Linked DNA regions of Macaca fascicularis. The protein of the gene in region 1 purifies or fractionates together with the protein of each later gene. This does not show direct contact. Links are inferred from orthologs where the notes say so. Each region holds a gene or a part of one and is shown on either strand. Other genes may lie near its edges.

Region 1 (3,817 bases):
GATTGCTTGAGCCCACGAGATCGAGGCCACAGTGAGCCATCATTGTGCCATTGCACTCCAGCCTGGGCTGAAAGATGATTTTCATAGTACAGACTAAGTGGTGAAAGGGTCTCTTTTAATGGTCCATAGCCTAAGTAGACTGATGCAACTAGTTGATTTCAAATAATGTTTTTAGTTTTCAAATATTCCAGTTAGCATAAAAATTATAAAAACCGACTTACTTCCCCATACTGAGAAAAAGTCATTTCACATTTACTACTTATCCCCTCTTCAGGAGCAACCTATTTCTAAAAAAAAAAAAAAAAAACAAGCATATGTGTGTGTTTGTGTGTTTCTGAAAACTCAGCAGTACAGGAGCAGCAGAGTGCAATATTAGAATAAATGAAGTAGTTTCCTTTTATCAACTAAAATCAAACAAACCAAAAAAGACATGTGACTCGTGGTATTTCCATTGACCGACTGTCTCATGGTCAAAGTACTAGGAATAACTCTAAAGGTAAAGGAAGCAGGGGAGAGGACTCCATAGATAGTCATTAATTTAAAGGCTGCTGTTTCTCTAAAGTGGAAGCCATGTCTTTATAGATTCCTTCACAGTTCAGCCTTGTCCTTTATTTATGTTTTTTTGGTTTTGTTTTGTTTTTTGTTTTTTTGTCTCTTTGACCAGAGAAAAATCAGGTCTTATGGAGACAGCTTATCTCATCAGGACAAAGTATTTCTGTAATAAAATCAAAGACTCATAAAAACCACAGAGTTAGGAGGAGCCATTGACTCACCACTCTGGTAAAAGCAGCCACACCCTTTCAAATGTGGTCTTTGTTAGAACTTGCTCTTTTTTTCTTGGTGGAGAACTTGATAGAGGAGAGACCAAACAGAAACTTTTCTTCCGTTAGCAGGCCTTCCGGCACTCAAGAACCATGGAAATTAGGAAGAGTTGTTCCGACAAGAAAATGCAGAGGATTCAGTTCTTATGAATCTGAATTTCTGATTACGCCCAATTTTTAAAACTTGGAATTAGTTGACCTTTTACAGTGTTAACCTCTATTTCTTAATTTTTATCTTGTGACAGAAAATCTCTAACTTGAACGAATTGTGAGAAAAACAAGCCTGTGTCCCTAAAAAATCTGAAATGTAAAAAGACATGCAGTATTATTAGTTGCAAGCTGGGCTAACAAACATTGAAAGGTCCTGGTTTATTATGCACATTGATTTGTAATTATTATATTGAAATATCACCCTAAACAAGATGTATTAATATTAATATATTTTCCAGATGTATCCTTTTGTATAACCCTTTTCCTTCACCAAAAAAAAAAAAAAAAACGAAAAAAAACAAATCCAAACAACCCACCCCTGACAGTAGGTACGTGGGTCTCCCTAAAACATGCAAACTCAGCAGGGCATGGTGGCACGCACCTATAATCCCAGCACTTTGGGAGGCTGAGGAGGGCAGATCACCTGAGGTCAGGAGTTGGAGATTAGCCTGGCCAATATGGTGAAACCACGTCTCTACCAAAAAAATACAAAAATTAGCTGAGCGTGGTGGCGTGTGCCTGTGATTCCGGCTACTCTGGAGGCTGAGGCAGGAGAATCGCTTGAACCCAGGAATTGGAGGTTGCAAGTGAGCAGAGATGGCGCCCCTGCACTCAAGCCTGGGCAACAGAGCGAGACCTTGTTTCAAACAAACGCAAACTGCCATACACCCAAGCGATGCTGATGTCCCACCTTCTGCAACCAGCCATTTCTCACGCAGCCTGAAATCCCCACTCTTAGGTCACTCTGTTGGGTTAGAAAACAAAGGTAAAGGGGCCGGGTGCGGTGGCTCACGCCTATAATCCCAGCACTTTGGGAGGCCGAGGCGGGCGAATCACAAGGTCAGGAGAAGTGAGACCAGCCTGGCTAACACGGTGAAACCCCGTCTCTACACGAATTAGCCTGGCGCGATGGCAGGCTCCTGTAGTCCCAGCTACTCGGAAGGCTGAGGCAGGAGAATCACTTGAACACGGGCGGCAGAGGTTGCGGTGAGCCGAGACTGCGCCACTGAGCTCCAGCCTGGGCGACAGAGCGAGAAAAAAGAAAAAAAAAAAAAAAAGTAAACAAAGGTAAAGGCCTTGTCTTTAGGGCAACCCGATAGACCTTAAGGGCAGGCCAGAACTCCAGGGCCTTCACCAATTTATTAAATATGAGAGTAAAAGAGACCTATTTACTTCAAAGCTCTCTTTAAATGGCGAGGTTACTGGGGCCCAGAAAATGAGTAATGATAGACTGGGTTCTGAGAAGTCCCACAGAGTTTGAACCTAACGGGACTCAATTCATTTTACCATTAATTAGTGTCCACCCCGTGATACAGATGGAGTTCTCTAAAGGAAACATCTGTGGTGAGCTATGGATGGTGAAGGAAGGGCTAAGATAGGCTTCACTGGGTGGCAAAGCTGTGACTCCGGGACTGTGTGTCACATTCTCCCCTAGGACTTAAAGATCGACCAGAAAACACCTTTGCGCGTCCTTCACCGAAGGCCCCTGGCTGTGCGAGCTCGCGTCATTCACTCCATGGAGACGCAGTACGTGGATGAGCACCACTTCCGCCTCCGCTTGAAAACTCAGGCCGGCACGTATCCTTCCACCTACTGCACTGCCGCCATGAGCCAGAACCCTGTTGGAAAAGTTCATGCTGCCCTGGAAAATAGGGTCAGCTTGGTCTGGGAGGGATTCGGGAAAGGATTGTACTGCAGAAGAATATTTTTGTTTGTTTGTTCGATGTGTTTTTTTCCCACGAAATTTGTTTTTCAAAATGATTCTAAACACTGAGGTAGCAGTGAGTTCAATGTCAGCTTTAAAGTTATGTTTCCTGTAATTGCCGTGTCTTACACAGTGCTGAGCGCATAGTATCCAGAAAATACTTTTGATGGATTCATTTGCTGTCTTGACATTATTTGCAAGTCACGTATTTATGACCATATTTGGGTCTTTTCAACATTTCAGGTATTTGCCTTGGATGATTAAACACAGGTAGTAGATGGGAATAGCACTACTTTACATCATGATCTTTTACTTGGCCACTGGCCTAGTACAACAGAGAATATCTTTGTCTACGTACCTTGTGAAAAAAACAAAACTAAAACGACTCAGATGACATATCATTATCACCATTTTCAGACTGCAAAGAGTTTTGACTGTATTACAGAAAGGTTGAGATTCAGAGTTAAAATATCCATAGTCCAAGGCTGATAATTTGTTCATAATCTAACCTGACTTGTATGATTTTTGTATCAGAACTGAGTCGCTGATTAAAATATATCAGGGAGCTCTAACAGGCTTAGCTTTAGTTTACTTTTTGAAGGTCTTCCTAGTTTTTGTTTGCTTCTTGGTTTTATATTATTATGTGATCCAATAGCATGAAGTGACAAAATGCCTTCTAACTGGTATAGAACTAATGATGTACTACTGTATGTGTGTGTATATATGTAACACGTATACACACACACACTATATATATATAGAAAAAAAGCAAGTTTTAATTACCAAATACCATTCTTACTATATTGCTGTAACTAGTCTGCCTGCCCTTCCCCACCAACCTGCATTCACTTCTTCCCCTGCACTACCCTAGGACCTGGATTTACTCAGCTAAGCCAAGTATAGGTTATCTACTCTTAAAATCTTCTAAATTTTGTAATTTGCATCAATTTCAATTTCGACTCCAGTGGATAGATCTTTGTATCTTTGTTGTTTGGAGCATATTTGCCTATTATGGATGGAATTTCAAATCATGTATATATTTTTAAAAAATCTTCTTACCTAATCCTGGCTTTTAGTTTTG
Region 2 (4,563 bases), on another chromosome or scaffold:
TGAATGTACTAAAGATTCCTCCACACCAAAGGTCAATAGTGAATTCTCTCTTAAATTTTCTGACAACTCCTTCATTTTCTTCCCTTGTCCCTTCAACTATCCACCTCTTGGCTAGACATCGTATGCATGATTACATGTACCAGGTAGATCACGAATACGCTGATTAGGCCTAAATGCCTAGCCCCGACTGAATTAGCCCAAACTGACCACTAAACCCACATTTTTAACCTCCTGATAATATCACAAGCAAGTCTCACATGCACATCAAATGCGACCTGGAAAGCAAAGAACTTGCTATTCTTCCCCCAAATGACAGTTCCCACTATTTCGGGACAGGCCATTTCTACGCCATGTCCCCGAGCTGGAAAACTGTCTTTGCTGCCTTTCTGCTTACTCTTCATATTGATCTATTCATTGGTTAGCGCCGTGGCTGTGGCTGTCAATATGCTGTTGAATTCTTTACGATCCGGTTTGTGGCCTACATCCAACACCGACTGGGCACTTGCTAAGTGCTGGGATCTGAAGATTACTCAGGCAGCCACTGTCTCCACGGAGATCATCGTTAACGGGAAAGAAAGCCACGTTAAAACACCACGTTAGATGGAGAAGCACAGAGGACACCACCTCCACGAAAAAGTCTCAGACGCCAGAAAGGACCCGCACGACAGCACCCGAGCCTCTATTAACCGCCGCCTTCCATCGTGAATTAATGCTCTAGCTTTCAGCGTTATTATCAACCCCCTGCAAGCAATCAAGAGGCTGGGTTAAGTCTGGCTAGAGGTGCTGCAGGTATCCCTGGGCTGTCGCGCCTCCCAGCGCCCCCGATGGAGCAGGTGGCAAAACTGCAAAAAGAATTTAAGGCTCTAGGAAAGAGGTGGTGCAGCCCGCGCTCCAGTCCCCGGCCCGCAGCAGGCAGAGGAGCCTCCGGTCTCTTTCACCCGGACACTGCCGGCAGAGGGGTCCACTCCCGTGCCCCTGCCCCGGATGGATCGCTTACCTGAGGACCCCCAAACAGAGGTGCATCCGGCCTCGCCTCCCCAGCCACGCGCAGCCGGCTACCCAGAGTCCGCCCCGAACTGCGCACGCGTCTCGGTCTTAGGCTCCCGCTCTCTCACCGAGCGCACTAGGCCTCCAGGGGTGCGCTGAAGCACTGCAGAGGCCAGCTGCGCAATGGTCGCGTCAACTAGGATGGCCCGGCCCGCGGAGGGCGGCGCGGGGTGACGTCATCCAGCGGCGGAGGCGTGGCCGGGTCCGCTTTCTTGGTCACTTACCGGGACCGGCCTTCTTTGTAGCCCTGGCACCGTAGAGGTAGAGGAACTACATTGGCCGCATCCCCTGTCCCTCTGCCCTCCTGCCCATCTGCCCACACTTTTGTATTTGATCTCTTTTGATGTGGAACCCCAAAGCACAGTAATGGGGGGCGGAACCTGCGGAGCTGGCAGAAGCGCGCGTGCGCACGACACGCGCTGCGCGCCGGAAGAGCACGCCCAGCCCGGGCTGCGCGGAGGAAGCGCTGGGGTCCGGGAGGGAGGGGGTGGCGGCGCCGGAGGTCGCCATGGCTACCGAGCCCGAAGCAGCGGAGCCGGTGGTGCCTTCGCTCGTGGATCGATACTTCACTCGCTGGTACAAACCGGGTAAGTGCAGAGTGATGTTGATCCCTCCTTGGCCGCATTGGCCTAATGCTGTGGAGACTACGTTGACAGATCGTAAGCCACGCGCTCTCTCCCTGGCGCTCCCTCCCCACGTCAGAAGGAGCTGGACTTCTGTGTTCCGTCTAGGCCCAGGTAGTGGCATTTGCAAAGACCTGGTGGCCTGAAATACTTCAGGGCGCATTCTGGGACCGGCGATTGCAGTGCGAGCTCTAGGGTGTAGCTCACGGAGGCCCCGGAGGTAGGCGCAGGGCTAGGTTGCCACAGTCCTGAAGTGCCTGGAGGGATTGAGGGGCTCACTGTCACAGCGATTAGCAATACATAAAATTATGTAAATGATCAGATCGAAACCAAGGTAGAGGCAGTAGGGCTGGCGAGAAGAGGGTGGGCTACAGACATTTAGAAAGCAGAATTACACATTTACTTAAGGAGACGCCACCGGTATTGTTCATCTGCCACTTAGAAGTAGGTATTCTTTTTGTACTGTTTTGTGTAAGCAGTACCAGTGGCGGGAGCATCGTTTGGGACTCTCCTTTCTTCCTTTCATTCAGTGATAATGGTTATACTCAGTTAAAAAAATATATATTGTAGCATATTTTCTGTTGGTCAAACATAGGGTGACCAACCTGTCCTAGTTGACCCATGACTGAGGGGTTTCCCAGAATGTCGGACTTGCACCAGCATCAGAACAGTCCTGGAAACCACCAACAAAAAATATATATCATAAAGAATGGGATGCTAATTGCATTTTCCTAGCAAAAATACTGTGTGTACTCATTTTGAAGTGAGTGTAAAGGAAGATGGAGCAAGGAGTTAATTACCTTAATGTTGAATAAATTATTCTGTCTGGGCCAGATCTCTTTAAATACTTTCCAGGAAGCCTTTGGGTATGTCTTTTTGAGCAATGTAGGGATAGAAGTGACCAGCATGCAGCATGTATGTGTCCAATCTTCATTATTAACTATCTCTATGACCCAAAAAAGGACCACATAGTGGTAGTAAGTATTGATTTCAGCCACCAACAGACTCATTTATTCTTCTAGATGTCAAAGGAAAATTTTGTGAGGACCACTGTATACTACAGCACTCTAACCGGTAAGCAAATTGGGAATTTTAAATTATCAAAACCTTTTTTTTTTCTGGTATTGTAGCCTGGTATGGTCTTGTGGTCTTGGATTGAACAAATGCTCACTAAACAAACATGCATTAATTATCTTCTACTGTGTTGAAATGGTATTATTATAGGAGTTTGTTTGGCAAGAATGAGTATTCCAGTGCCTGGCCACTCTAAACAAATAAATTTGATTATTCAAACACCCAAATGGAGGACCACATCATCAGCTACTACCTGAAGTGGCCAGTCTGTTCCCAACTACTGAACTGTTAAGAGCCCACAGAAAGGGCTACGGTAGAGACATACATGGTATCTTGTATACACAGGCATGCCTTATTTTTTTGTCTTCTACCCCAGTGCAACCTACCTAAAGATCTCTGGTACTCTTCCCTTTCCTGGGAAAGAAATTCAATCTTGTTTTCTCTTTTATTATTGTATTCTCCTTTCTACAGTTATGCCCCAATAGTAGCCAAAGAAAAAAGGGGGAAGATGATAGTTTGACTAAACAAATACCAGTTCATACATTCTTGTTCCAATAAGAATTATGGGAGGAAAAATTATTCCAAGCAATCACATAGGATCAATTTTTTCTCCTTGTAGAATATGTGTCATCACATTGGCAGAATCTCATCCAGTTCTTCAAAGTGGAAAAACAATTAAAAGCATTTCCTATCAGATCAGTACCAACTGTAGCAGACTTCAGAACAAGGTCTCTGGGAAATTTAAGCGGGTATGTTCCTGTAATTCTGTGATTATCTACTTACATCCTCTATATTCATGGTAATGATAGATCCAATGAACCTTAGAATCCAATAGCATATACTTAGCATACTTCTCTAGCAGTTTGAGGTGCTGATTTTAAGTGTACTTTCACCTAAAGAAATTCTTAGACTCCCAAAAATTAGGTATCTCAGGAGGTGTAGTATCTGTTTTATTAGGTTCTGTGCTACTATCTCTATAATGCCCAGGATGGGGGAGGGGGAAGGCAGGCCTTTGAAAGGAGAACTCTAATAGCAATATAACAAGATATTTTGTCCCTTCTAGTTGTATTAAACTAGTATCTCGAGTTCTGTAAAATTTAGGTGATCAACTCTTCTTTACCATGTATTTCCACATGTAAATTAAACAGAAAAAAAATTCCCAGGGGAGTAAGAAAAAAAAAAAAAAAACATGGGCCAGTCAGAATGGCTCACGCCTGTAATCCCAGCACTTTGGGAGACCGAGGTGGGTGGATCACGAGGTCAGGAGTTCAAGACCAGCCTGGCCAATGTGGTGAAACCCCATCTCTATAAAAATACAAAAATTAGCCAGGCGTCGTAGTGGGCACCTGTAATCCCAGCCACTCGGGAGGCTGAGGCAGGATAAGGGCTTGAACCTGGGAGGCAGAGGTTTCAGTGAGCTGAGATCGCACCACTGCACTCCAGCCTGAGCGGCAGAGCAAGACTCTGTCTCAAAAAAAAAAAACAAAAAAAAACATGAATATGAGAAAATATATGGTATTTGCTCCTTACGTTTTTCCATTCCTAAAGCATTGTCAATGTAATACACATCTACCCACCCCCTGTACCTGCACACAACACTTGGTTATACAGAATGCTAGCTCTACCCTCTGTAACTCTAGGCAAAATGGATAGATGATTAAAAGAGTATCATACCAAGGAGAATTTAGTGACGTATTAAAATGTCTTTACAAACCCACTTGTTGGGAAAGTTTCTGTGGATGATTTACGTCCTTCATTTACTGAGTTCATACTAAGAGTTTCTGCTAATTGCTCTCACTATTCTAGGAGACCCTTATTC

Evidence for each region.
Region 2: the proteins of PUS10 (region 1) and ABITRAM purify together in Homo sapiens (affinity purification with mass spectrometry; 3 studies listed by BioGRID and IntAct, counting the BioPlex papers as one, with this or other methods). This does not show direct contact. The link is inferred for Macaca fascicularis from reciprocal best matches to the Homo sapiens genes PUS10 and ABITRAM.

The regions. Positions count from the first base shown.
Region 1 is NC_088387.1:61,021,609-61,025,425, forward strand, and holds part of PUS10 (tRNA pseudouridine synthase Pus10), read left to right. Parts: intron 1-2,466; coding exon 2,467-2,609; intron 2,610-3,817. UniProt on the Homo sapiens protein: Protein with different functions depending on its subcellular location: involved in miRNA processing in the nucleus and acts as a tRNA pseudouridylate synthase in the cytoplasm.
Region 2 is NC_088389.1:49,190,766-49,195,328, reverse strand, and holds the start of ABITRAM (protein Abitram), read left to right. Parts: upstream 1-1,485; 5' UTR 1,486-1,555; coding exon 1,556-1,634; intron 1,635-2,692; coding exon 2,693-2,744; intron 2,745-3,363; coding exon 3,364-3,493; intron 3,494-4,563. UniProt on the Homo sapiens protein: Actin-binding protein that regulates actin polymerization, filopodia dynamics and increases the branching of proximal dendrites of developing neurons.